Tamandua tetradactyla: one gene and its partner. The protein of the gene in region 1 purifies or fractionates together with the protein of each later gene. This does not show direct contact. Links are inferred from orthologs where the notes say so. Each region holds a gene or a part of one and is shown on either strand. Other genes may lie near its edges.

Evidence for each region.
Region 2: the proteins of ZMYND8 (region 1) and ZNF687 purify together in Homo sapiens (affinity purification with mass spectrometry; 4 studies listed by BioGRID and IntAct, with this or other methods). This does not show direct contact. The link is inferred for Tamandua tetradactyla from reciprocal best matches to the Homo sapiens genes ZMYND8 and ZNF687.

What each region holds. Positions count from the first base shown.
Region 1 is NC_135327.1:5,018,215-5,028,930, forward strand, and holds the start of ZMYND8 (MYND-type zinc finger-containing chromatin reader ZMYND8), read left to right. Parts: upstream 1-4,951; 5' UTR 4,952-9,655; coding exon 9,656-9,839; intron 9,840-9,958; exon of another isoform or gene 9,959-10,143; intron 10,144-10,716. UniProt on the Homo sapiens protein: Chromatin reader that recognizes dual histone modifications such as histone H3.1 dimethylated at 'Lys-36' and histone H4 acetylated at 'Lys-16' (H3.1K36me2-H4K16ac) and histone H3 methylated at 'Lys-4' and histone H4 acetylated at 'Lys-14' (H3K4me1-H3K14ac).
Region 2 is NC_135330.1:4,159,157-4,169,872, forward strand, and holds the start of ZNF687 (zinc finger protein 687), read right to left. Parts: upstream 7,010-10,716; 5' UTR 6,983-7,009; coding exon 6,841-6,982; intron 5,122-6,840; coding exon 2,984-5,121; intron 2,857-2,983; coding exon 2,678-2,856; intron 2,283-2,677; coding exon 2,106-2,282; intron 1,983-2,105; coding exon 1,820-1,982; intron 1,689-1,819; coding exon 1,356-1,688; intron 1,235-1,355; coding exon 1,122-1,234; intron 915-1,121; coding exon 773-914; intron 682-772; coding exon 184-681; 3' UTR 1-183. UniProt on the Homo sapiens protein: May be involved in transcriptional regulation.

The DNA of each region.
Region 1 (10,716 bases):
GTCGTACATCGGTCCCATTTTTGGGGTCTGACCTACGTTACGTGTTTGTGGGACTGTTATTATAGAGGGTTGTTTCCTAAAACCATTTTCAACCTCAGTTCTAGAAGAACGGTCTCTTCTATTTTCTCCTGCAAATCCCTGTAGGGAAAGAAATGTACCCCGGTTTAGGTCCTTCAGAGACCCAGGCACAGGTTGGTTCTCTGAAAGTTTCAGTCCATCGGTACATTTTACCTTGATGGTGGTCAATCCTTCACTGATGATTGGAGACGAGTGTGGAAAGCGTGCCTCGCGTGGGGGGGACGAGTGTGAGTGTGAATGTGATGTTACAGTCCCCTGAACCCCCACTCTCCTGGGAGCCTGGAGAGCCAGTGTTTCACAGGCCTCTTCTTAAACAGCTTTTTGAAATACAATTTAATCATCATCCATTCACCCACTTACAGTGTACGATTCGATGATTTATATATAGTATGTTCATAGAGTCATGTCGTCTGAGTCACCACAGTGAAGGTTTAGCACAATTTCATCACCCCAAAAAGATCCCTCATGGCATCAGCGCCGCCTCCTATTTCCTGCCCCTCCCAGGTCCTGGTCGCCACTGACCTGTTTCTCTTTCAGTGAATTTGCCTGTTCTGAACGTTTGGTATAAGTGGAGTCATATACCCTGTGACTTTTTATATCTGGCTTCTCTCACTGAGCACAGTGTTTTCAAGGTGTGTCCCTATCGTAGCGTGGGTGCGCATCTCCTTCTGTTTCACGGCTGAATAATGCTCCGTTGCATGGATGGACCACACTTTTTCTAGCCGTTTGTTACTTGGACACTTGGGTTTCTGCTTTTTGTCTGCTATGAATAAGGCTGCTCTTAACGTATGTTGTGTGTGTTTGTGTGGATTTGTGTCTGTTTTTCTTGGGTGCACACCTAGGAGTGAAATTGCTGGGTCAAAGGGCAGCGGCTTTGTGGAAGGCGCAGGACATACCCAAGTCCCTCCACTCTGCTCCTTTGACCCCTCGTCTTTCCTGCCAGCTACTGTCCTGCCTCTAGCAGCTTCCTCAAAGCTTCCTCAAGAAGCTTCCTCAAGCTTCCTCGAAGTATCAGAACTCAAGTCTTGGTTTCTTTTCCTCCACCGTTGCCCTCTGCCAATTCCAGTTTGGCTCCCACCCAGTCCTTCCATGTCACTGGTTCTCACTTCTCATGGCTCCCTTGTTGCTTTCTCTGGCCGAGGCTTCCAGTTTTCAGCTCACCTGATCTCAGCACTACCGGACCTGGGTGATCATTTTCCCCCTGGACACTCCCTTCTTTTGACTTTTTTGCCAACATACTCTTGATTTCCCTCTTACTTCTCTGACAGTTCCTCCTCCTCCTCTTTCTTAGCCATCAAGTGTTAGGGTTGCTGAAAGCTTGTCAGAGACATTTTCCTCATCTCCTCCGGAATCTTCTTTTCCTGGGTGATATACATCACCTGCCTCTGTAGCTTAATGACTCCCAAATTTACCTTTCCAACCCTGAGTTACGAAGCAGATAGCCACCTGCCTACCTGTTGTTCCATGGGTGTCAAACTTGACATGTGCAAAACTGATTTCACATCTCAGCACCCCTCTCTGCCAAGAAATGGAACTTCTGCCATCCTCCCTGGCGAGTGAGCCCTCTGCCAGTTGTCTAAGCGACAGATACGGGACTCATCCTTGATTGTGGTGCCTCCTGTGTCATTTTCTTAAAGTGGAACATCATCCTAACTGTCGGTCCTCCCCAAGCTGTCCCTCTTGATTGTAGCCGTCTTTTGGCCAGTTTCACTGCCTCTGCCTGCCACACTTCCCCCACCCCCCATGCTTGCGAAAGGCATTTCTGCTCAGGCCACTCTCTCTTCTACTTGAAACTCTTAAGTGCTTTCTCATTGGTTTTAGGATGAAGATCAAAATCCTAAAATCCTCATCCTGGGCGGCCCCCGTCTGCCTCTCCAGCCTCCTCTCTTGCCGTGTTATACCCTGACCTTCCAGGGCGTTGGCAGAGCTATCTCTGGCCCCTGGGCCTTTGCTCATACTTGGAATGTTCTCCTTTCTCCCTTCTCCTCTCAGCTCCCCTCTATCCATCTATTTCAAGGCCCCAAATGAGGCTGAGGTCTGCCTTTTGCTTATGCTCATCACTTTTTTTCCATATGTCTTTTCTCGTCCTTGTACAGTAAGAATTTTTGAGCAAATGAATGAATGTCTTGGCTTTGTATATCTGATGGATAGAACTCTTATCCTGGAGAATGAAGGAAAATCTTTCGGGCTAGAGAGACTGACTTTGTTTCCATGATGATCCAGTGTCTGGAAATAATTATCCATGCTCAAATGACTGCTCTCTTTGAAATGATTGGTGGCCTGCCTTTCTTTTCCTTTGAGAGAGAGACATGATGCCCTTTGAAATGGTTCTGTTCCTTCTGATTTCTTTCCTCCCCAATGTTTTAATCCCACTTTGAGCAGATCTTTCAAACACACACGTCCAGTTGTCCACTCCTGCTTTAAATTTCCAGTGGCTTCTCGAGACCACCGTCATCACGGCTTTTCTCTGTGTGTCCTTGCTGGTCCGGCCTTGGTCAGCACAGCTGCGGCCCTGCAGACCTGTCCCTCCTACCCAGCCTGCCTGGCTTGCCACACTTGTGCCTTGCTGAGTCACCTTGCAGCTCCTTCCAGCTGCTTCCTGAGCCGCCCCCTCGCCTTGTCCACACCCGTGAGGTCTTGTCCTTCTCTCTTAGCCCCCCACATACTCCGTCCTAAAGAGGAACCTTTTGGGTGTCAAAGTCAGCCGAATGGTCCCTTCAGTTGCCCACGAAAGCACTGTCATCAGCTCACATCAGGAGTTCTTATGCATACTAAATCAAGGCTTGAGAATTTCCAGACAAGACTAAAGGAAGAATCAAAAGCAAGGCCACATACTCATTTCTGAGCATCAAATCATTCTGCCTGTAAGAAAACTACTGAATCCTGAGAGCCTGTGGGAGGGAGGGAGCTTCGTAGGTGCTCCTGCCCTCCTGCCATCCCTGCTGCCCGTCGGTGGATAGTCAGCTTCTCCAGCCCTGTTGTCCAACACAGTAGCCACTGACGGCGTGTGATGGCTTACGTTTACATTAATTAATTGAAATTAAATGAAATAAATTCAGCCCTCAGTCTCACTAGCCACATGTCAAGTCTTTACAGGCACATGTGGCTGCCACACCACGCAGCACAGAGTGTACAACTTTTCCACTTTAATCTCGGGCACCTCTTTAACATGGGGCTGCCAGTTAATAGCTGCTCAGTAGATGTGGTTTTTTTTAATAAAGCTTATCTACCGAGAAATGTAAATTGACTTTAAGGGCAAAAAAAAAAAAAAAAAACCAACACACAAAAAAACCAGTTTATTGAATTTTCCTTCCAGTGCATAAAAATCAGTGTTACAACTGGACAAAATATACAGTGATAAAAAGCTGAAAATCCTCTCCTGCCAGGTAGCCAGGCCAACAGCTCAGTGTGTTTTCACCTACACTTTTGTCCTGTCTGTGGTTATAAAGACATAAGATCTATACCATGCGGACATAATGGAATTGGACTTTTTAGAATGCAGCCATCCTAGCAAAGCATCCCCCACCTCTGACTTCTCTACTTATTTTCTTCCCTTTTTTTGCTTTCTCCTGCCCCGTTAGATTCTTAAAGCAGTTTTTAAGTTTAGATGTAATTGTATAAAAGGTAAGAGAAACGGAGACCTTGACAAATGGGAGTTTGCCTTCCGTCCCCAGAGTACCCCCTGGAAGGTCCCTGCATGTGGAAGTGCCATCCCATGTGGCTGGATCTTCTGATTTTTTTTTTTTTAACAGAAAAGTAAGAGTCTGAATTTTTTCATACAGCTTCTCCCAAATTAAGAAAAAATTATCACGGTAAAATAGATATAACGTGACATTTGCCATTTAACCATTTTTAAGTGTACAGTTCAGTGGCATCAGTTATATTTGCAACGTTCCACAACCATCACCACTCTCTATTTGCTAAACTTTTCATGAACCCTAACAGAAACTCCGTACCCATTAAGCAGTGATCTCCCAATGTCCTCTCCCCCAGGCTCTGGTAACCTCTAATCTGCTTTCTGTCCTTCATGAATTTGCCTGGTCTGGATAGTCACATAAATTGAATTTTTTAATATCTGCCCTTTGGTGTCTGGCTTATTTCACTCAACGTGGTGCCTTCAGGGCTCTTCCATGTCATTTGCATGCGTCCCAGCTTCATTCCGCTTTATGCCGTAACTTTCCCTTGTGTATATACTCCACGCTCTGATTCCCCGCTCATCTGTTGGTGCACGCTAGGTGTGTTTCCACCTTCTGGCACTTGTGAATAATGCTGCTGTGAACACGGTGTGCAAGTGTCTATTTGAGTTCCCGTTTTCAATTCTTTACACACCTAGCAGTGGAATTGCTGGGCTCCTAGGCTGGTCTCTCTTTTTGAGAAACTGCCAAATTGTTTTCCTCTCTCCTTTTAAGAGCCACATCTGGCTGTGGATGACTCCGGCCTGCCGCCCTGCCGGCCTGTCGTTGGCCACCTCCGGTCTAGGCGGTGGCTGTAGGGCCTCCTCGATCGGTTTCCTTGTCACTGACCACTCCCCTTCTGTATCACTTTAGTTTATGTGGCCTACTGTCACGTGACTCTCCTCTTAGGTCTGACCTGCTCGTGTCCCCATCTCCTTGAAGATTTCAGTAACTCCCATCTCTGCTCTTCCTTTAGGGGCTGCCCTGCGGCTCGCATGTCCACTTCTTGGGTTGGGACCAGGTGCCTTAGTAGTTGGTGAGCGTTGAGGGACATCTTGCCCGACAGACCTGTAGCTTTAAATTCTAGACTTATCTAACCCTGGCTAGATGCTGACACTGAGAAACCTGAGGGAACCTAGAAGGAGGAGGACAGAGCAGATTTAATGCCTCTTGCCTCATGCCCATTGAGTGGGATGGGGAAAGATGAACTTGTAAAATAATTTTTTACTTTCCCTTTTCCGAGGCTGAGCCCTCATTGCTTTGCATTGCACAGGCAGAAATGGAGACACAGGAGGCGGGGGTCAGGGGGAGGTGCTGGGCAGGGCTTCTCACACTTAAAAGGACAAGAACCCAGGACTAAAAAATGTGGTGAAGTGGTGAGCTCTGTGGGAGGTGGGAAGCCTCTCTTAGCAGGGAGTGTGTTTTCCATGGGGAAAATCATTGTTTTCTTTGGTAAATGACTCTGAAACAATAGCTCTGAAAGTATGGGTGACCTGAGAAAATCTCCTAGTCCCCCTCCTCACTTTTCAACAATCACTTTCTGCATAGAAGTCCTTATTTAGGGAACCTGGAACCCTTGTGGGGAAATGGCCCTTTAAGCAAGAGGCAAGAGTGGATGGAGCCCTGTAGAAAAAGGGAATTTTCTGCTCTAGTTTTTTATTTTCTGACTCTGAAATGGCCAGCTTCCCTTGTGTGATCTGCCCCATTGATTCTGCAACCCTCCTGCCGTTTGGGTTTGCTGGGAGAGATTCTGAGTCTGGGGACGAAAAGCTGGAGTGGCCTGTGGGTCAGGCCCGGCTGGCCCACGGGGGGCCTTTGCTGCCCCCTCCGGGGCTTGTTTTTTGCACCCTCATGTGTTTACGGGGCCGTGTACCAGGCCTGTGCTACAGCAGAGAAGGACAGTTAGGTAAGGTGAAGCACACTTCTGGGGGAGGCACAATAAACAAAGAGAGAAAATTGCTTTTAAGGTGGAAGTTACATAATAAGGAGTCTGGAGGCAGGGGGAGCTCCCAGAAGGCCTCTGCCGGGAGATGACGTCTTAGCCAAAAGCTCAGAGTTGCCTGCTATGGAAGGCTGGGGCATGGAACACTCTAGATGGAGGAGCCAGCAAGTGCAGCTGAGCTTGGCTTGTTGTGCGGAGCAGAAAGGAGACCTTTATGGTTAGAGCTGAGCAAATGGAGGAAAAAAGGTGAGCAGGACCCCATCAGTTGGGGCATCTAGGTCTTGAAAATGTTGGGTCTTGTATTCCAAGAACGAAGGCATATCTTGGAGGGAAGAAGGAGGAGAGGGTCTTGTTAGGTTTGAAGAAGGCTGATGGGGGGCAGGTGAGGGAGCAGGCCAGCCAGTGGGCAGTCACAGGGCTTGGATGAGCCTGGCACCTGTGAAGTAGCAGGTGTTACTGCATCCAGGTACCTGTCTGGATTAAGGCCGCGTTTGAGCGAGGCTCTGAAGGTTGGACCGAACTTGGATAGGGCAGAAGTGATGGCTGGGGAAGGAAAACATCTTGGCCGAGGCGTCTTCATCCAAACCTTGCAAGGTTTGACATTCTTCGGTGCATTTGGGACTCAGAGAGAGGCCACACAACCCATCGAGTCTGGACTTGATCTACTCAAGGATCAGTACCAGACTCCTTGGGCCTTGGGCCTCACTTGAGTAGGGAGAAACTTGCATTTATTTTGGAAATAAGGTCAATTAGGGAGGGTGGGGCTGGGATTGTGGCCTCCCCGGAGAGAAAGCCTGAGCCCTGGGGGGATTGTGAGTCTGGTTTGGTGGAACCTGTGCCAGCTGGAGAGAGTTTCCTGTAGAAGTTTTGTGTTTCTCACCAGGTGACTCTCTTTTCCTGGAACGGCTGGGAAGAACTAGTCCAGTGCAAACCATGGTGAAGATACCAATGGGTGTGGGGAAGCTCGAGGTTTCTGGGTTGTCTGCTCTGGCACCTGCTTACCCTAGTGGGTTTTAATAATAGTAACAGTCCTTGGTGCTTTGATATGCCAGATGCTGTTCCCTACATGTATTATGTCATTTAATCCTAAGAACCCTTTAGAGGAAGATCCCATGTTATACCCATTTTATAGCTGCATTGACTGAGGCACAGAGAGACTAACAGTGTGTGCAGGGGTGCATAGCGGGCAGATGGCGGCACTTGGATTCATAGCTACCTAGGGGTCTGGCCCCGGAGCCTACGCTCCTGGCAGAGGCTGTCTGTGTGGGCTTCGGCCTCGTGCTGGGAGTCATCAGGTGCCGCTCACGTCAGGGAGGCAGGTGACCAGGTGACCGGTGCAGGTGAGGGCTGTGGCGTTAGACCCAGCCAGGATGGAATCCCCGGCATGCCCGTGCCCCCCGGGCTTTATGCGCATAAGTGAGTTTGCCCTCCTGAGCTTCACCTGTAAAATGGGGATAGAAGCAGCATCATGACCTTATGCAATTCATAAAGTAGCTCCTCAGTAAATAGCAGCTGTGAATTGCATGAGCCTGGTTTGAGAAGGAAATACAGAAATGTTTCCTAGCTACCCCACTTCCCTCTGTACATACACAAACTCCTGTTGTTCCCCTCCGCCCCAGCTTTTTGTCCATCTGTAACCGGTTTCTCAATCATTCTACATTTACTAGCCACTTTTCCCCGTGGGCCCCTTTCTCTTGGACCTCAGTTTCTTTGCTGATTACATGGGGATATTCTCGGTACACACCACCTCGAAAACTGCAGTGTAAGTCAGTCCATAGGTGTCTTTTAGAATATGCCTTGCAGATCCGAAAGGGCTGCACAAAAGGAAGCTCTTTTCTCTTTTTTTCCCCCGCTCTTGTTCCTGACTCCCTGCCCATGAGGATGGACCTGCCGGCTCCCCTGGCAGCACGGATGTCCATAGTTGCTCAGTTCTTATTTGTTGACTCACTGGTCCTGTTCCTTTTCTCTTTTTGATAGCTGAAGTCAGGCTGAGTGGAAGAAGCATTAGGCATCGTTTTCCTTCTTCATGGGTGCACATGCCGCCAGGCGTGGATTATTTATTTACACAAGGAAGTTTCCTTGCACCGGGGTTTCTCAAGTCTTGCCATCGTGGGCTCCTGTGGCTGAGTCAGTCCTTGTCGTGGGGGGCTGTCCTGTGCATCGCGGGATGCGCAGCAGCATGTCTGAGCAGCCCCTTCTGAGGGGCACCCGATGGGTGCTGGAAGCTTGTATTGAGAGCCTACTGACAGCCCGCTGGGGTAGGCCCTGCAGATGGGGACCGTGCCTGGGCCTCTGTGTGCCTGGCGGGTAGTGAGAGAGAGCCCCCAGAATGTTATCTGTTCTTATCTGTGGACCCCACAGCCATTTAAAAGTATCTGCAGTTAAATACAGCAACATGACCGCAAAGACTTCGAAGCGGAGTCCTGCAGGTATAGTTTCCTGCGTGCTCTTCCAGCCCTTTCTAAACGCAGACCCCTGTTTCTTTTACACGGACTCTATTTCTGGCCTTTTTTTTCACTTGGATTTCATTCTGTGCCAGTCCATACAGTGTGGTTCCTCTATGGCTGCATCATAACCTATCGCATCGCGGTCTGCTGTTAGTGGACCTTGAGGTTACTTCCCGTCTTCTCTCGAAGGACCGCTGTGAGGTGGCTGTAGAAGCCTACCCTTGCACAGAGAACTTTCTTGTCTCCGTTAAGGTGACTTTGGAGAGGCCAAATGGGAAGCAGGGGCCCCCGGGGCGTGGAGGGACGTTGCTCGGTTCCCAGTGGCGCTTCCTTTATCTACCTCCCTTTCGACGAAGCCTCTTTCCTTCCCTTCCCTTCTCTCAGCTCTTCTGTGCTTCAGCTGCTGCTGGCACAGAACTCTTTTTGTCTCTGAATTGGTTCTCCGATGCCGCAATTCCCTGTTGCAGTTTGAAAGCCACGGGCACCTGAGCTTTCCTGAACCCGAGCGTGGCTGGGGGATGGGAGGGTGAGGCGAGATTGAGACGGGAATGCTGTCCCTGCCCCCGGCACCCCCCAAGGCCCGCCCTGGCCGAGTCCCTGGAGCCGGGATAAATAATACAAATGGGTCTCAGCCGCCAGAACCCCTCTGCCAGCCCTCATTAGCCACCTCCGATGTGAGGGCCAAAAGCAACCGGTTCTTCCACATTCTCCTGGGTGATTTGGTCGGGTCTGCAGGGCCTCAGATAATGCGCACACATTCGTCGCCGCTTTCTGGGGCTGCCGAGGGGTGGGCGCCGGCCGCGGTTTCTTGTAGGGAGCTGGGCTCCGCCCCGGGCCCCCTTTGTGAGGTTTGACCGAGGTTGGAATTCTTGAACCAGGAAATTCCTGTTGAGATGTCCTTTTTCCAAAAGGCCTCATCCCAGCTAGGAGGAGGAAAAGGGCAGCCCGCGTCGCAATTGGCTCTGTGGTTGTTGAGAGCTAAACACTGAATTCATTTGTAAATCAGCCTCGTTTCCAGAGATGGAAGCAATTTCGGTCCTGCCAGGCTAGTTTGGAAGTTCACCTTTTACATATGACTGTGCCCTTTAATTGCCACTTCTGCATTATTGTGTGTGTGTGAGAGAGAGAGAGAGAGAGAGAGAGAGAGAGAGAGAGAGAACAAGAGAGACACACACGCAGTCATACAGGGTGCGTGTGGGAAAGGATGGCTTTCTTGTTTCCAACACAGGCACATCACAACTAAAGATCATCTGAATTAGTTACAAATTAAAAAAAAATACCTTAAATACAACCACAACAGCCCCCCCCCACCCCCCTTCTGATATTCTTGCTTCAATCAGCAGAACCACCCTGATTTGGTTTGTTGATTCGCATCTGGTGAAATAAGTGGCTCTTGAGTGCTGTGTACTGAAGACTTCCCTCCTAGCCGAGTTGCTGTCGCGGGCGATGAGTTAGAGCCACAAGCCGGGGACATTGAGGCAGGTTGCTGCCCCTCCGAGGTGGTGGCGGACCCCATGCGCAAGACCAGGGCTGGCCTGGCGCGCGGGGCCTCCGAGTCTGGCCTCTCTGCTGCTTCCTCCTCCCCCTGGGAGAGGCCGCTGAGGATCCGGAAGCAGGAATGTCTGTCGTGTGTCAGCCTCTGCTCTCTGCGAGTAGGGAGGCCGGGCCCCCCGCGCCGCGCCGCTCTCCCCATGGCAGGTAAGTGCCCGCGCACGGCTCAGGCATCTGGGCCCTGGGCATCTCTCTCCCAGGCTTTGCCTCTGGAGCTCACGGGGTTCCCGGTCCAGTGACATTTCCCTACGTTGAGAAAGGCCCCTTTGTCCCACTGCCTCGTTTCCACGCCAGCTCTGCTGTCCCTGGGTCTGGAGGAGCCGTTGGCAGGCGGGGCCTTTCAGAGGCGCGGCACAGTCCCCGGTGCGGCCAGCCCTGCTGCAGGAGCTGCCCGGCCTCTGCGGTGTAGACGCGCAGGGCTGGAGCAGGTGACAAGGGTTTCCGCCCGCAGGTCTGTCCCCTTTGCTTAGGCATTCTCTGCTGTAAGAGGAGAGTCACCCGTTTCCCACCCCATCCCTCGCTCCCCACTTTCCATTCCTGCTCCCTTCCCCGGAGGACATTCCCTGCTTTTGTTTCATGATGATGCAATGATGCAATGACTAGCTGGGAGGACCTGCAGGTCTGGGGTAGAGAGGCCTTCTGGGTATCTGCTCTGTGTCTGCATTTGCTGCGTGCCCTGAAATGATGAGCCCATCTCTGCTTTCCTGCTCCTGGGAGAGCAGCGTGTGGCCCTGTTTGAAGCAGGCTTTGGGGAGGCCTGGCAGTTACGGGGAGTGTTGGCTGCGGTTGCCGTCCCAGCCCCGGCAGGGTCAACCTCTGCTCTGACCCTGCCTTCCCCGTTCCCCGAGGCAGCCCTACAGTCTGATGGAAGTGGAGAAATCACATCCTGGCCGATTTTGGCCTCCTGTTCTCTGTAACTTTGAACTTTTGGCACTGGTTGAACATACTCCTGTGAGAAAGCGAGGCTGTATTTTTAGAATGGTGGGTGGGGAAGAAGGAGGAGGAATGAGTCTCAGTTTTTAAA
Region 2 (10,716 bases), on another chromosome or scaffold:
ACCCAAGAGGGGCTTGCAAATAACTATAATCCTCAAAAGCTTTTTTTTCCTCCCTTGGAGAGGTGAGGGGTTGAGGTGGAGAATGTGAATCTTAAAACCCCCCAAGCCCAGGGACCAGGCAGCAGCAGTGAAACTCAGGCTCCTGGGAAGGAGAATAGGGCTGGTCAGTCCCAGGCCTGGGGCCTAGTTGTCCCCACTGCCCCCCTGCCGAGCCCTGATGAAGGCCATGCCATGGGTGCGGAAGTGGGTCTTGAGGTTGAGAGGGCTGTCGCAGCTCTTGCCACAGACCTTACAAGTTAGCGGGCCTCCAGAGGCAGGCAAGGGTGAATCGCCACCCTCCAGGTCAGACCTTGACGGAGGGGGCACCTCTTCCTCCCCATCCCCCAGCCCCAGGGCACTGGCGCTACCCGCACCCCGTCTCTTCTTGTGGCTGATGAAACGGTGGCGGCTCAGGGAGCCAGGGGAGGCAAAGCACAAGCCACAGTCCAGGCACTGCTGGGCACCACCGTCCACCCTCAAGCCGACCAGGAGGCTCTGCTCCGCTGAGCCACTGCTCCGGTGGCGCAAGGGGCCATGGCCTGCAGCCCCAGGTCCACCCCTGGGGGACTTGGCCGGTGGGGTTGTGCTGTCAGGCTCCTCGCTGCAAGAGTCAGAAGACTGGCGGCGTTTCCGTCCCGGCCCCTGGAGAAGACAGTGGAAGACACACAGGGTTGTACCATCACCCTAACTTCCCCAGGCAGTTTCCCACCCAGCAGGCTGGACCTCTGCCTACCTGGGCTCTGGCACCAGGACCCCGAGCTAGAGCACTCCCCCGGCCAGGGGCCTGGGCCCCGAGCTGCAAGCCATGCCGGACCTGGACATGTTTCTCCAGGATCAGGCGGCTGCTGAAGGTACGTTTCCCCTCTGTGCAATACCTGGAAGAGAGTGGGCAAAATGGGCACCAGGGGCACAGCCCCGAGACCAAGGCCCATGGCTCCTGAGAGAAGGGAGCTGCCAGAGCAGAGGGAGCCTCCAGCTTCGGTCCACTCAGACAGGAGGCAGGTGGGAGGGAGCTTTGGGAGGGAGGGGCTAGGGTCACCTGCTGGGCAGAAAGAGGAAGGGGGTGATGGGGCAAGGGTTACCTGCATGGATAAACTCGCTTGATACCCTCGTGATTGACCCTGACGTGGCGCCTCAGGCTGGGGGCGGAGCAGAAGGAGCGCTCACACAGGCGACAGGGAAACTTTTTCACTGACTAGGAGAGCAGGGGGTGGGAGATTTCAGAGCTGGGCTCCAGGACCCCCTTCCCGATCTCACACAGGCCAATCCCAGTGATGCCCCTGCAGCCCACTGTGTTCCCCTCAGTGCCCACTCACCTTGCCATGCTCCTTCTTCATGTGAGCCACATATTCATCCCGCTCAGGGAACCAGGAGTGACAAAGGCCACAGGTCCAGCCACCAGGCCCCCCGCCCCCGCCCTTGATGCCTTTGCTCCCGAGTTCCCGCCGAGGCCGCTTGGTTGGACGGGGGGGCTCAGGGGAGCTGGGCAGTTCCTCCTCTTCTGAAGACGAAGATGATTCCTCAGTGGGGGCGGCTGCCCCTCCCCGAGACACAGCCAGCTCCTCAGGTTCAGTTTTAGGAGTCAGAAGGGCACCCCCAGCCCCTTTCCCAGCAGTCTCCTCCCCTAGGCGCCCGGACTGGTGAGTGTTCTGTGAGGGAGACAAGGGGGTGACTGTTGCAGGGGAAGGCCTGGCTTTGCCAAAGCTCTCACCTCTCCCAGCCCCTACTTCCTGATGGTCACATGACTTAGCCCCAGATCTGTTATCAGCGGAGCCCCCACCTTGAGATGTTCCAGCATGGTCCTTTTTTGGGCAAAGAGGAGAGGACAGGACGGGCACTTAAAGACACTGACACGCTGGGGCAACAAATGCTGGTCGAAGTGTGAGGAGAGGAGGGGTTTGTGAGTGAAGACTGTATCACACATGGCGCACTTGTAGATCAGCCTACAAAGGTGTAAGGACAGCACGGACATCAGGCAGGGATAGGAGCCCTCCCCCATTCAGCCCTGTTCAAGGCCCAACCCCTGCCCCAGCCTCTCCTCCTGGCGCTCCCTCCCCAGGTCTCACTTGGCCTGCTGCGTGTGGAAGCTGGGGTGCTGGGTGTAGAGGTGGGCATGGGCGCTCGGCGCAGACTTGAAGGCCATAGGGCAGATGGGGCACTTGTGGAAAACCTCGCAGTGCGACGTCTGGATGTGGGACTTGATAGAATTCACGCCCCCAAATACCACTGAACAGCTGGGGCACCTTGGGAAGGAAGTGGAAGGCACTGTGGTGAGGTGGGGGCTTCTCCATGCCCACCCCCCATCCCACACTCATTCTTAGGGACCGCGCAGACTCTGAGACTTGAGGAAATCAACAGTGGAGCATGAGCAAGATGGAGAAAGAAGGCAGCTATAGAGATTCACTTTCTCACGGAAGGCCTCGAGAGCTTGAGCTCCAGAGGTGGGGGACTTGGCCAGCATCCCCCATTTCCATGGGAATGATGGGAAGGCAGAATATGGTTTGTCAGGCTGAGCTTCCCAACACAACAGACCTGGGGGATACAGCAGGAGAGAACAGAGCTCTCCTTGAGAGACCATTTAAAAGACTGATGCTAGGAGACATAAAAAGCATATCAAGAAAACAGAGCTGTGAGACACCTGTATCCTACGCGGCGAGAGAAATGCAGACAGGCCTCCCGGAGATGGGTCTGAAAATTGGCTTGCAGGAAGTTACCCCCACACTCAGGGCAGACATGGGGGGGTCGATTCTTATGCATGCGCTGGTGGGCATTGAAGCTGCAGCGATTAGGGAGCATCATGGGGCAGGTTGGACATACCTGTTGGGGGGCATTGGAACAAGGTAAGTTGGTAAGGAGTGAAATGTCCCCCATTACTTCTCCTAATCAACCCCCAACCCTTCATAGGTCCCACCTCCCCAGGGAAGGTCTGTGAAAGGCAACTCACATTGCTGGTGACCCCAGGAGCAGGGGGCCCGAGCTGCTGGAAGTGGGCGGCCATGCCAGCCTTGTCCCGGCACTGCTCCTTGCACTCCAGGCAGCGAAAGCATGTGTAAGCAGAGGTGGCAGGAGCAGCAGGTGGCTCAGATGAAAGTGGCAGCACGGGGGCCTCAGTGGCAACCGTTGTAATGGTGGAGGAGGTGACTGCCCCTTCTCCTTTGCCCAGGGCAGGCAGGGCTGGAAGTCCAGGGGCAGGGGGGACAGTCACAGGCAGCAGGGGCGTGATGTCTGGCTGCCCTACCATCTGGTCAAGGGCTACAGGCCTCATGACCAAGTGTGAGCACTGCATGACAAGCCCCTTGTCCTTGTGCTCTCGTGCATGCAGCAGGAGGCTGCACTTGTTGAAGAAGACCAGACGGCGGGCACAGTGGTTGCAGGTGACCTCGATGCGCATGCTCCGGCGGTCGTAGTGCCGTGCCAGGCTCTTCTCCAGGGAGAAGGCATCCCCACACTCGAGGCAACGGTAGCCCGTGGGAGGCAAGGCCAGCCCCGCCTCAGCCGGTGGACTCAGGTTTGGCCTGTAGGCAGGCAGCAGATTCTTGCTGTTGAGGATCTTGTTGAAGGCCTCCACCAGGCTGGACTGGGTCCGTGAAATCACTGTGCCACCCCCAGCTCCTGGCCCAGTGGCTGGCTTTGAAGGCTGTACCATTACCACTGAGGCACCATTCACTTTCTGCCCTCCTGTCCCCAGCCCTGCTCTCCCATCTGCCTTGGGCAGGGCCTGGGGCACCAAGCCTAGCACATTCTTAGCCACTGTCTTAGGGCTGGTGGCATTACCCCCAGGCAGAACCACAGCTTTGCGGGCCACACTGGCTGCCATCAGCATGGCAGTGCTGGCGTTCTGGATGGTGGCCACAGGCAGCACAGTGCCCTTTAGCCTCGTGCCATCACCCAACTGGACACTCACTACCTTAGGACCCTCCGGAGTTGGGGGTGCTGGAGACAGCTTCAGGAGGTTAGTCTCAGCCAGGAAGGACCCTTCGGTCCTAGGGGCCGGGGGATCAGGGTCTGAGGGAACCCGGGTTACAGTCCTTGTGATATTCCCACAGGATGTCTTAATCGTCTTGATCCGCACCTTGAGGGGCCTGGAGGAGCTGGAGGACGCAGGGGAGTCATTGCTGTCCTCGTCCGCAGCCTCAGCTCCACTAGAAGGACTTTGGGGGCTTCCTGGGGGAGACTTGTCCACCGGCCCCTCATCATCTTCTTCCTCCTCCTTTAGAGACCGACAGCCGGGCACTTTGGGAGAGGCAAGAGGGCTCTGGTGTCCTGGAGACTGCTTGAAGAAAGGCACCCCAGCAACGTGGGGAGGTGAGCTGCTGGCAGGAAGGCCCGTGGCCTCGGGGCTGGAGCTGGAGCTGAGCCGAGCTGGGCCCTGGGAATGAAGGGGGCTGCTGCTGCCCTGTTTCAAAGTCCCTAGTGGTGGGGAAGAATCAGAGGGCAGCAGGGCTGGGCCATTCTCCCGGGCCAGCTCAAATGGAGAGGGGAAAGGAGGGGGCGTCATGGCCCCTTCCCGAGGTGGGGAGGGTGCTGAGGGAGGCAGGGGATCAGGATGCTCCCCTGGCTCAGGCCCAAAATGAGCAAAGAGATCTAAGGGAGCTTTGCCTTCCATGGCTTTTTCTTTCCAGCTACCCCCACTTGGAGGAGCTGGAGAGTGGGGAGTTCCTGGGAGGGATGGCTCAGGGCCCCCAAAACCATTTTGTATCAGACGATGGCCCATAGGTCCTTCCTTAGTCACCCCTCCGCTCCGGGCCCCTTCCTCTCCTGAACCCCCAGCCAGTGCCTCAGACTGCTCAGGACATACAGTGTTCTTGACAATGACGCTGACTGCCGAGATGTCTGGAGGTGGCAGGCCATGGTCACAGGCCTGGGCTGGAGCCCCAGGGTCATCCCCACCAGCTGCGGCTGTTGCTTCTCCAGATTCACCTCCCACACTGGATTCTGACTTTCCTTGGCCTCCCGGCCCCTCATTTTCTTCTGGCCCAGAGTGGATGGCTTCATTCGCATCAATGTCAGGGATATCAAAGGCAGCAAGGAGGTCGTCAAAATCAGGGGTCTTCATGTCCCCCATGGCAGCAGGTCCCAGACCTGATGAAAACAGACAAAAAGAGGGAGAAACTGAGACCTCTGGAAGCAAGAACCCTAGACCTCCTCCTGCATGATCTCCATACTTATCCCCTCTCAGAACTGGACTTGGATACAGCTCCACCACAGCCTGAGTCCTAGAGAGCTGGTGGAGGTGGCTTGTTTGCCAGACCCTAAAATTGGAAGGGGGTACTGTACACAGACCACAGGAGATACCCAGATCCAGAAAAAGCAGAGAAAAGACCTCTCAGAAATACAGACACAGATATTAAGCAGAGTGAGTTTAGTGAGCATCTTGATTAAAACTGCCTCTCCCTGCCCTGTGCCCAGCCCAGAACCAACTAAACTAACCCATGCTATTTCCAAGGCAGGCGGAGTACACTATGCTCTAGGTTTAAGGGCTTTTTCATGTCAGCATTAGATCAATTAATATTCTTCATGGATCTTCTGGGATCCACAGAGAGCTGAAAGGCCATGTGTTCAAAGGGGCAGTGACTTAAACCAAGACATAAAAAATGATTCTTGTTCCAGTTTTTTATCACTGCCTTGCTTTATAAGCAAGTTACTTCACTGCCTTACTTTTGCATTTCAAAGAAGGGGCAAGTAATCCATACAGTAAAGGGCTATTCTGAGCATGATATGAAACTGTGAGACTCAGAACCTGGAATACAATTTATTATCATAGCTGGGTCAAACACGGGTATGTCAGGTCAAGGAAGAGCTGGGAAGGAATAAACACTGGAAATCTAGGATTGGGGTCAGAGACAATTGTCAAGAGTCATGTAAGGTTAAGTCTGGGACAGCTGGGGTCATCCCTGGCAACTGGAGATCCATGTTGGTCAACATAGGGGAAAGGACACTGAGAAATTACCTAAGAGACTGAAAAGGTAAGAAAAAGACACAGGAACAGAAAGAGACAAAGAAAAGAAAGAGAGGAAAACAGTGACAGCACCCTGGTCACAAAGGCCCCAGGCTATGCAGGTCCTGTCACAAACACCTGCTGCTCGCTCACCTATCTTCCCCAGAGTGCCTGGGCCCGCCCCCAGCCAGCCCTGCTCCCCACCTCCCTTCTCATCTTGCTCTCTGAGGGCTAAAACTCCAGGGTACAAGCTTATCCACCACAGTCAGGCACCATGGGGAAAAGCCAGGCTCCCTCAAGCCTGCAGTTTCTGCTCTGAGCTCCCCCCCCCCACCAGTTTATTCCTTAACCCAAACTCCTCACACTTTTAATTTTCTTCTGGCAATAGTAGCCCAGGAAATTTCACCTTACCTAGCCCAGAACAGTACCCAAAATCCCACAAGATTTATGTGGGCCTTACGAGGCACTCAACCAACAAGAAGGCGAGCTTAGAGAGTGGAAGGAACCCAAGTCCGTCAACCTAGCAGTATCTCCCCACAAGTGTTTCTTTATCTAGGAAGAAACAACTGAAAATATCTCTATTCTTACATACTCCCTGTTCAAGACACAAGCAAGCAAGCCACTTCCCAGGGCCAATTCCACCACCTCTTTCCAGCCTTTAGACTGTAACTGGAGATAGCCCCAGCAGGTGGCAGCTGGCATTGCTGGGACCAAGGTGGGGGTGGGGGGAGAGGGTACCAACTACAGGCAGAAAGCAGAGTCTTCCTTTCCCCCTCCCCCTCAATTCTACAGACTCGGTTTAAACAAAGCCCTTCACCCCTGATGGACGGCAAAGGCCCTCCTCGGCCTGGCTCCCTCCCAACCTGGAGAAGCCTGCGCGAAGCTCCCACTCAGGTCCCCAGAAAAGTGGGCTGTTGGTGCAAGACCAGCGGACTGTGATAAACACCTGAGAATTCGCCCCCCCAGCCACCGTTCCCTCTGACGTCCAAAACACTTAGAGGTCATGCGATAGTCAGACTAAGCCGCGCAGCTCAAGGCCGAGGAGGCCCTCCCACCCCTCCCACCCCTCCCACCCCACTGCTCAGGCTCGGACCAGGCCTTCCTGCGGCTGCAGGGCCCTGCCTCTTGGGATCCCGTGCACCCCCATCCCCCAGCCCCTTCCCTCTGCTCTTCCCCAAAAGCCAAAGGAAGGGGCTGAACAGGAAGAGGGTGACCTGGCGAGGGTTGGGTGAGGGCTACACTGCCCTCTGCCTGGGCCCCGGCCTGCTGCGCAGTGAGCGCTGACAGGAGGGCGAGGGGCCCCGGCCGATTAGCCTGCGGCCAGGCTGGGCAGCGGGCGGAGTTAAGTCCCTGCCATCTGCCGAGGGCCGGCGCGGGCCGCACGTCCGGAGCTGCTGGGAGGGGGCGGGGTGTGCACAGGTGCCAGAGGAGAAACTGAGGCGCGCAGCACTTCTCTCGCTCCCAGCGGCGTGCGAAGGCAAGACCGGGCCCCGGCCAGGTCAGGCCAGGCCCCTTGGGGGTGCGGCGCAGCACCGGCGGGCCAGGACGGCGCGGGGCCCGCGGCAGACACCGGCGGCGGGGAGCGACCCCCGCGCGACTCTCAGTCCTCCGGCCGGGGTTCGCCCCAACTCCTGCCTCCTCGCCTCCCGTTCCAGCGCGGCACAACCTCCTCCCCGCCGGACTCTGGACGGTCTCTCGAGAGGGGGAGAGATCGGACGCGGTGCGGCGGCCCCGGGCGCCAGCCTGCGTCCCGTCCCCCCGGTGCCGGCTGGCGCGCAGTCCGGGAGCAGGATCCGTTCCGGCCGGGCCCCCGCCCCCGCCCCCGCCCCCGCCCGGGCACCATCTTGGGTCGCGACATCCCGCAGCCTCGGTCCCCGGCCGCGCGCTGGGCGCCTCTGGAGCCGGCGGCCCCGGGACTCGGGGTCCCCGACCCCTGCCACGTTCGCCCGGCTGGGGGCTGGGGGCTGGGGGCTGTGCTTTCCACGGGCCGGGAACCCCGACCCCCGCCGCAAGGGACGAGGGGTGGCAGCGCCTTCCCAGGGGCCGCCCCAGGGGGGCGGTGCGGAGAGGGGGGTAGGTAGCCCCGTGGGGGAGGGGCGGGCCTGGCCGCCCCCCGGGGGGCGGGGCCGGGGGCGGGTATTCACCCCAAGCAACCTTACTCGTTCCGCTCCGAGGCCCGCCGGGACGCGGCGGTCTCTGCCCTGCTCCAGCCGCCGCCGTCGCCGCCGCCCTCCCCGCGGCCGCCGCTACTTCCTGCTTCTCTCCCGTTCAGCCTCCCCCCCCCACCTCAGGTCCCTCCGCGCGCCGGGTCGCGGCAGCCCGCTTCCACACTCGCCATTGGACAGCGCCCCCGTCGCTCAGGCCCGCGCCCCTCCCAATCCCGCGCACGGTTGGCCTTAAGCACTGCCGCTCTGGGCTCGCCCCGCACAGGCCTCGTACCCTCATTGGGCAGGGGCCCGAGGCCCTCTGAAGCCGCCTCTCCCCATTGGTCGCGCCGGCGCCCACCTGCCCGGGCTGTGCGTCTCAAAGCTACTGGTAGATGCTACTGTCGCTTAGAGAAAAGCCAAGCTGGGATTCCGCTTTCCTGTTGGAGGCGGTAGTCGTCCAGGTGCGTTCTCGCACCTCACTGCCCATTGGCTGCGCTCCTCTAAGCCTGCAGTTCCCTTATGCAAATGAAAGGATTCTCAGTCATTTGGTGGGCATGCTGAGAAGAGCCAAGTCGATTTCTGAGTGGGGCGCGGATGTGCAGATCCGTTTGCGGATCCGTTTTCAAGCTAACCCGCAATCTGTCATGCCGTGCGTGACGTCACGAATGGGACGACACCCAAAACATTACGTCATCTGGTTGACCGTTTCTTCGCGGCTTCTCAACTGTCAGAATCGTCATATAAGCCGAACGTATGGGAGTCTTCCGCCCCTCGGCGTCGCGCGGGCAGCTCCTGGGCGAAAGCGTCACCCCAGCATCTCCCTCTGAAGGAGAGCTTCGCTGGGGGCGGAGGCCTGAGACCAGCGTGAAGACCGGAAGTGGGGAGGAGGTAACGCTCGGGTGCTGGCGTGGCCTCGGCCATTTCCGAAGGCCTTAAAGCGCCGTACTGGTCGGCTTCCTAAGCGTGGGAGCGGGACCCACTCCAATTCCCGTTTAAGATCGCTCCTTTTCTCCGCCCCCGGCGGCAGGGGGAGGGCCGAGACCGCGTTTCCCGCGCTTTGCCGCCCCGCCCCGTGGGGGCGGGGCAGGGGAGGGGCTGCGCGGAGAGGAGCTGCGTTTCCCTTAGAGCGTCGGCGCTCGCGTGCGCCCTTCCTCTCGAGGGTCCTCGCGCCTCGTCCCGAGGCCCCCCGAAGGCCACCGCCCTCTGCCGCCCCCAGCCGAGCGCCGCGTCTGAAGTGACTTTGTAGCCGAACCCGGGGTCTCGGGCCGACGACCCGGGCCGTCCCCCGGAAGGCTGCGGGCGCTGTGGCCAGGGCGCCCGGGCTGGAACCTGCCGGGACTCGGGCACGTCTTCGCCGTTTCCAACGGTAGAACGAGGATTCGAATACCCACCTGCCAAGATTTGTTTCTGAGGAATATGAGTGAAGAAAGTAAAAGTACTTTGTGAAGTGCTTGGCCGCAGCGCAACGCCCCCCGCCCGCCCGCCTTCTTGAGGCGCCCGGGCTGCTCCGAGCCGCCAGCCCCCTCATGTCAGACCCGCATCCCCTTCCCACCTGCTCACCCCGCTTCTCCCTGCACCGAATAATAGCAGGGCCTGTTCACACGCACGTACCACGAGCTATTAATCCTTCCTGCAACCCTGTGAGGGAGGTGCTGTTACCTAGCTCCGCTTCACCGAGGCGCCGGCAGGTCAGGTCTGGAGCAGTGGAGCCGAAATTGAAAGTGTCCAGAAAGCTAAACACTGTATTTCAGAGATACGGTGGTGGGAGGGATCTGAATAGGTTTGCTGTTCGATTAGATGAACGATCATTCATTAAGAAATATTTTAATTCAACAAAGATTTCTTGAGCCCCTTCTGTGGATCAAGGAGTGCTATAGGCGCTGGGGATACAGCAGTGAACAAAACGCACAAGAATCGCTGCCCTCATGAAACATTCCTGTGGAGAAGGCAGACTATAAATAGGATAACTAAGAAATATTAAGAAGCAGGTTAGACAGTGATAATTGTCAAGGAGAAAATTAAAGCAAGGAAGGAGAGTAGAAAAGTATGGAAGGTTGCAATTATAGATAGAATGTAAGTAAAGGCCTTTCGGAAAAGAGGAATTAAGTAAAGGCCAGGAGGGGAGCGAGGGAGTGTGCAGCAGTAAGGGACAAGAGCATCCTGGGATGAGAAAGCAGTGCAAAGGTCCTGGGGTGAAAGTATGAGAGGTCAGGGGGCCGGAGGAGTTGGTTAGGCGACAGAGTGTTTTGGAGGCTATTGGAAGGACTTTAGCTTTTTCTTAGGATGAGTTGGAAAGCCATCAAAAGTGACTTATCTTTGGTGAGTCAAAAGGTGGCCTGAGTTACCTATTAAAAAATGATGACTCTGTGATGCCTTGATAAATCCCAGAAGGATTTGAACAGTGAATAAAAAAGTATTTGCAAAGTCCCCTTAGGGAATGGTGAGAGAGGGGGAAAATGAAACTTCCCCAAGTAGAGAATTCTTGATATTCTCACAAGCAGTGGGGATAACCAAAGCAATAGGCTGAACCCGCAATCTTGGGTTTTCTTCATATGAACTTAACCCAGCAAAGGATATGCTAAGCCTGTTTAA